Linked DNA regions of Tribolium castaneum. The main gene of each other region encodes a partner of the protein of the gene in region 2 in a complex. Links are inferred from orthologs where the notes say so. Each region holds a gene or a part of one and is shown on either strand. Other genes may lie near its edges.

Region 1 (2,498 bases), on a different chromosome or scaffold from region 2:
TATTTATTTCACAAACTAATAATTTCATAAAACTCAAATTTGTGAAATTTGTGACGTTTGTGAAATTTGTGACGTTTGTGAAATTTTTACTTGTCAGCCGCGCATCGGCACCACGTTTTTCTTCAATAATCTGAAATTTTAAATCCGCCAATAGGATTTCTTTTTCCCGTAAAACACTAAGGCCATCTATCCGCATCATCAGTAAAACCTAATTCAGTGAGGGCTCGATTTGGCTATATCAGTTCGGGATGCCTGGTCACAATCATAAAAAACGTCACCCCTATAAACACAGCCTACTAGCAAAGTGCAGCAGTAAATTTTTTGGGTCAAAAACTTCTATTCGGAGGTTTTATTTGTTCGGAGGCATGATTTTCTAACATCAATTTCTAACATAAACGACAAAAAAAGCGTATTGTTCTATTACTATTCAAATTTCATGTTACTATCAACGTAACTTATTACGTTGCCGGTGAGGAACGATAAGATTTGGTTTCCCAGTGGAAACAAAACAACTGTTTAAAAATGATTTATTCAACTTGCCTTTAAATATACACTGAATGAATTAAATATGAAAATAAAAACACGTATATTATTTAAAATTGCTTACGCCGACCTCGGCCCCAGTTTTTTCAAAACCTTCAAGCCTTGCTCCTCATACTCTTGCTTCGACATCCAAAACGCATCCCGATCCTTCATAACTTCGGCTAAAACTGCTCCACCGATAAAAACCATGTCTTTACGTCTCGGCGGATCCTCAATTCGTATTTTAAACTTATTTAATTTCTCTATGTCATTTTTAAGTACGCGTTCTAGATACAATTGCTTTATTTCACGTTCAAGTCGTGAAGGGAGCCCTGGATACATAGTGGAACCACCTGAGAGTACTATATGTTTGTACAATTCGGGCCTCATGTCAATATCAGCCGCCTAAACAACAAAGCAATATTAAACCAAGCTGTAGAAAAAACAAACCATGCAACCTGTATTGTATTAAAAACAAGCTCAGCGATGCCTTGTCCCTCAACGTTGATTAAATGCGGTTGAAATAATGCTTCAGGGGCCTCAAACCGTTCCCCGCCAACTTTGATCACACGGCCATCTGGCAAAATATAAGGCTCAACCAAAACAGTAGTTTCCAGAGCCAACCGCTGTTCTGTTTCTATATCGTAACCAATGTAACATAATTTTTCCTTCATAATTCGCACGGTTTCAAAATCAGCCGAATGATTAAATGCGTAACCTCTCAGTAGTAATAATTTAATAAGATAGCGGGTGATATCACGGCCTGCTATATCCAGACGTCGGGTTAAATGCGGCAAAGCAAACTCTTCATAAACGGGGCAAATGTGTGTCACTCCGTCACCAGAATCGACAACAACACCCGACAGAAGTCCCTAGAATCAAACATTCATATTTTATTAAAAATAATTTTAATTATGAAGTATTTTTAAATGATTTAAATAACGTCCCTTGGAATTCAGTACTCTATAGGGTTGTTCCATCTAAATCCCACATTAGAAATAACCATTTTCTCCCAAACTAGTGGATAAACCGTTCGCTACCCGAAAGTTATAATTGGCTCTTAACTAATATTTATTATTAAATTTAATTTAATAAATTAATTAATAATTTATTATTAACAATGATAATAGTAATAATAATGAAAAACATTTCGGATGTTAGCAGTTTTTGGGCTCTTCTCAAAAAAATTTTCATGTTTCTAAGCAAAAAATTGATGGAATTGAGATGGAATAAGACTTTTTTTGTTTGTTCTATGAGAATTCTCTTGCTTATAAGCAAAGAATCATCTGTAAGTCGATGTTTCTGGTCAGAATAAGACGTTTACAGCCACTTTTTAAAAAGTTATCTCGTTTTTAAGTGTCTATAATAACAATAGTAATAATAATAACAACAATAAGAACACATTTCGGGTAATATAAGCCGTTTTTTTTAACTTCTCACGAAATTGTTTTGTCTAGAATGATTTGAACTAGAAAAAGTTCAATAATAATAACCAATAATTCTTTTCTGGTAATTATTATTATTTTTGGACCACCAACTGTGTAAACGAACCTGAGCGTATAAAGTGAGTACGGCTTGGACAGCAATATAAGCCCCCGCAAAACCGTACTTTTCGAACATGACTTCGATCATTTTTTCCCGATTTTTCGTGGGGTTCATTGGGGGTTCAGTCAGGAGAATCTAAAATACAAATTTAAAAATTTATAGTCAATTTTTATGATTTTTTGATGTTACTTTAGCATCAGTTGGGTCCAAATTCATTTTTCGGGGGCCAAAAGTGTAGTCCCACACGTGGCACATATCCTCCCAGTTGCGCACAACCCCATTTTCCATCGGGTAATTCACCTCGAGAAGCGATCGCAAAGCGGAAGCTTCATCTCCAACCATCAAGTCCTAAAATTGAAGTTATAATAAAAATTGTAAAAAAAAAACACATTTACACATCAAAGGGCTTCAAATTTACTTACAGGAAGAGT
Region 2 (4,433 bases):
TTTTTTACGCAAGTCGGACACGTTCTCAACACTGTGGAATAAACGGATGTTGAGGGTTTTATTCACGAGGGGGTCCAATGCCGCTTTAACCATTTTTTAACGGTGAATAATAAAAAATGTGGAATTGTAGGGTTAGGTTTATTGTCAGTCTCAGGCGAGAAATTCGCTACTGTAGAATCTGTAACGCACGAAAATGATTAATAAAATTACAAATAAAATTGTGCGTGTTTGCTGCTCCCACCCAATTATTGATACTCTCAATACAGTCTTTTGAAATTCCTTTAATAATTTAAAATAATAGGAATTTCGCGTTAGTAGCAAGTCATCCAAAATGACTGCTTGAGTTGGCCATCCTGGCTTAATAAAGTTCAATCAAGTGTCGCCACACGTTTTCGAGTTGGTAAAAAAATGATACACAGACTTTAAAATAACATTTTATTTTCTATTATTGAATTAAACAGTGTCTTGCTCTGTTAATGTAATATAAAAATGAAATGAGCATGAAGAATGCGTCCAATTGCCTACAGAAATCCGAAAATATTGCAACCTGCTATAGAAATTGACGATTCATTTATTACCTATTAAACTATGTTAAGTTATACAATTTATTTGGCGGTTCAAGTTCTCAATAGTAAAAAGGATCGTTCCGAATCAAAATGATAACAACAAGCGGATACATAGTAAAAAACCTAAAACACGTCTCGCAAACTGGGTAAAAAATATGTAATTAAACTTTGTATTAGAAATATATAATTCACAATATTGATGTGCTTACCCATATTTCAAAGGAAGCACATGGTTAAAAGATTGAATCTATGTACACAAGTAGCTGAAAAATCAGCACTTCTATTAACTGAACTGTAGCATTCAGTACTGAATGAACCAATTGATTGACTTAATAAATAAACTGCAAGAGAGGCTGTGCAAGAACTGACTGATGGGAAAATTGAATGAAACAGTTAAGTTTAATAAATTGTCGGCAGTTATTAGTCCTTTTTTGAGCTGATCTTACAAGCAAAGTTCACTAGTACTATACACATCAATCCCGTCGAACGAAAGTTCTCCCTCTGTAACAAATCAATCAATTAAATTATGATACGGATGTCTAAAAGTTAGGATACGAAACGACGTACAAATAAAACGCTCCGTTCTCGATAGTTCCGTCAGTGTCGCCAGAGAGCGCAGTTGTTCCTTGGTTATGTTAGTAAAACAAAAAATACAGACAGATGAAGCATTAAATTCTCAACATAAGCAAAATTTATCGTAAACTGTAATTAAAAAAATGTCAAACTTTTACCAATTTGCACTCCCCCATATTTTTCAAAACGGTGCGAATACGGTTGAAGATACAAAAAAAGTGTAAGGAAGAAAGTTGTAGAGAATTGAATTTGCTAAAAAAAAGTCCGCGAGACCATATCCATATCTTCAACCATTTTGGCCCCAAAGTGGTCCAAAGACGCTCAAGCGACGGATTTGTTTCATTTTACCGGTTGCCAAGTATCGGAGAGTTAATTTATAGCTAAACCGTTAAAGATAGAAATATGGTATCGCGGACTTTTTTGTAGGAAATTTAATTCTCTACAACTTTGTTCCTTACACTTTTTTTGTATCTTCAACCGTATTCGCAGCGTACGCAAAAATATGAGAAAAAACCCTGTGATTTTGTACTTCGTTTCGTCTCCTAATAAGTTGTTAAAAAAGCAAAAAGACGTACGTTATAGTTTTCTTATCTGTCGACTTGTTCTCCGGCCTGGCCCTGTTCAGGACCTTGAGGAAATCGGACGTCTTGGCCCTCATCCGACTGTGAATGTAGGCCTTGGAGCATTTGATGTGATAATGTAGATAATGGCGAAACATGTGAATTAAATCTATTGTGTTGTCCCTCGTGGTCCTTGCCGTGTGTCTCGGGAACAGGACAAAAGTGACGTACCCCACGTTGTTATCGACCTTCGCGTCGGTGTTCTGGAGCTCCCGGGGGGGCTCCCGGTGGCTGAAGAGCACGGGGGGCGCCGTGTGCGACGCCCTGAGCCCCTCCTTGAGCTCCTGCATGAACACCTTCCCGATGACCACGTCGTCTTCGTCCCGAAAACGCGTGGAAAAGACGACGGTGACTCGGTCCGCCTTCGCCTCAACGTACATTGTTTCGTCATCGCGGTAGTGAATCACCGCACGTTTCTGTCCCTCGTCTCCGTTTTCTTGAAAATCGAAGTATTTCTCAAACACTGAAGCGAAGCAGTTGCGCTTCAAAAGCCCGATTTTTTTGATGACTTGGGGCCAATCAGTCGGGATGTTCTCAAGGTCGAATAGGATCGAAACGTTGTAGCCGTCTTCAGGGGCGGCCAGAAGGGGGCCGTACTCGCGCTTGAGGAGCTGGTCGGCGCCGTGCTCTTGCAGTTCTTTGTAGAATTTGAGGGAAATGCTTATCTGGAATGGGGCGCTTATGTGGGGTTACTCGGGGGTGGGCTTACCCTAATTTTGGTTTTGTCTCCGTTTAGGTTTGAAATGTGGTACAAAACACCGTCGAAGTCCGATACTGTTATGTCGATTGACTCGTTTTTTAACCTGGAAAGATAGGCTGGTTTCAATGGTTTGGGAGATTTTCCTTGTGAGCCGAGTTTAGATAATGCTGGTGATAAAGTTGCGCCTGAATTTGGCGATAAAAGCCTCACCCCGAAACTACCGGTCGGTTTTTTAATGTAAATAAGGGACTTACCCGGCTTGGGCACTTTTTATCTTCACGGTTAATGTCTCTTCAACTACCCGATTGTTTGTCTCAAGCAAAATCATTTTAAATGATTGGGAATTGTGGTTTTTAACTAAAAAAATACATTTACTAGGTCTGACTGCTCATGGGAGGTGCTGTGGCTGACTGTCTGTCTGTCAACTGGCATTTACTGGGTCGGTAAGTTAGTAGGTCTGTCGCTTAAACAGAGCGCCAAACTTAAATAAAATACTTGGTCCAGTGAATTCTGCGACACATTATTTCACGTTTTATACCTGTTTTTTGCAAGGTTAAAAATTTTGAAATTTTTTGCTTAAAATTTGAGTAGTTATCTTCACAAAAATAAAAAAAAAATTTTTTAAATCACTCCAGCAAATTTTTATGGACTTCTACATGTCTTAACAACCCACAAAAGTTGTTAAAAGTCCACAAAAAGTCCAAATGTTCTTTTTTTTGATGTTTGATTTTTTCAATTTTCGTCGCAGTTTTTGTCGGTTTTGGGTACCCGGAACATTTCTCGAGCAATAGCTCCGGAACTATTAGAGATAACTCTATGAAGTGTCCCATCGTTGGAAAGCTCTTTAAATTATCTATTTTTTTCAAAAAAGATTATTGTTCTCCGACTAATAGTTTTCGAGCAAATTGCTGCTAAATGCAAAAATTGGTAAAATTTTTAAAAATTCATAACTAAAAAACTATTGGGAATTTGGCAATTTTCTCGATGCCAATCGATTCCCCGGATCATTTTGCATAGGTATGGATCAAAAAACTTCCACTTTTTGGAATAGTTTAGTAGTAAATAAAAAAATAAAAAAAATTAAAAAAAAGTTAACACCCCCCCCTTAAAATCGGTCAATTTTTAAAGTGTCTCAAAATCAAATAAAACCTATTTTATCTTATAGATTTTGATGTGCTCTTTACAATGGAACAAACCGTTTTCTTCTAGCTCTTTTAGTTTGGCCGTAATCGGCGTTTGAAAATTGAAAATTTTATTGCGAGATATCGCCTTAAGTCCTATGCCATTTTGTAGAGTTTTTTATTCCGGTTATCCTTCATTTTTCCGTTTCTCGATATCTTTAATAGTTTCGTCGTAATTGGCGATTGAAAATTGAAAAAAAGTGAAAATGAAAACCTTTTTTTGCGTTTTTCTCGGAAACTGTAAGACCTAGAGCAACGAACAAAAAACCATCTAATAGCGCGTAATTTTATCTATTTTTTCGACCAAACCCGGAGCCTCTCCGGGCAACGGTTCCGGCTACAGAGGCGATCAAAGTTTTTCACTAAAAAAATTCATAAAAAAAAAACTAAAAGTCGTAGAGCATTGCGGTTTGTTCGATTGAATTCTACGGCTCATTTTACATATTATATCAATTTTTCACAAGAATTAAAAATTTAAAATTTTTTGCCTAAATTTAGGGTAGCCATTTGTCATAGTGAAAAATTTTTTTCATTAAAAAAATTCATAACTCGAAAACTAAAAGTCGTAGAGCAGTGCGGTTTGTTCCATTGGATACAGAGGCTTTTTTTCTCTATTATAGTAATTTTTCACACAATTTAAAATTTTCAATTTTTTTGCTCAAATTTTCTGATTAAAATACACACTTACCTTCAAAGAGGTGAAAAAAAATTTTTTTTTAAACTAACTCCAGCAAATTTTTATGAACTTCTACATGTCTTAACAACCCACAAAAGTTGTTAAAAGTCCACAAAA

The links.
Region 1: Arpc2 (region 2) and Arp2 share a complex: the UniProt entries of both Drosophila melanogaster proteins name them as parts of the arp2/3 complex. The link is inferred for Tribolium castaneum from reciprocal best matches to the Drosophila melanogaster genes Arpc2 and Arp2.

What each region holds. Positions count from the first base shown.
Region 1 is NC_087394.1:25,851,419-25,853,916, reverse strand, and holds the end of Arp2 (actin-related protein 2), read right to left. Parts: coding exon 2,490-2,498; intron 2,416-2,489; coding exon 2,257-2,415; intron 2,203-2,256; coding exon 2,074-2,202; intron 1,395-2,073; coding exon 981-1,394; intron 928-980; coding exon 604-927; 3' UTR 514-603; downstream 1-513. UniProt on the Drosophila melanogaster protein: Functions as ATP-binding component of the Arp2/3 complex which is involved in regulation of actin polymerization and together with an activating nucleation-promoting factor (NPF) mediates the formation of branched actin networks.
Region 2 is NC_087399.1:3,469,637-3,474,069, forward strand, and holds Arpc2 (probable actin-related protein 2/3 complex subunit 2), read right to left. Parts: upstream 2,898-4,433; 5' UTR 2,788-2,897; coding exon 2,714-2,787; intron 2,563-2,713; coding exon 2,469-2,562; intron 2,425-2,468; coding exon 1,715-2,424; intron 1,068-1,714; coding exon 1,040-1,067; 3' UTR 422-1,039; downstream 1-421. Other genes in the region: EKC/KEOPS complex subunit Tprkb, read right to left, coding at 1-93. UniProt on the Drosophila melanogaster protein: Functions as actin-binding component of the Arp2/3 complex which is involved in regulation of actin polymerization and together with an activating nucleation-promoting factor (NPF) mediates the formation of branched actin networks.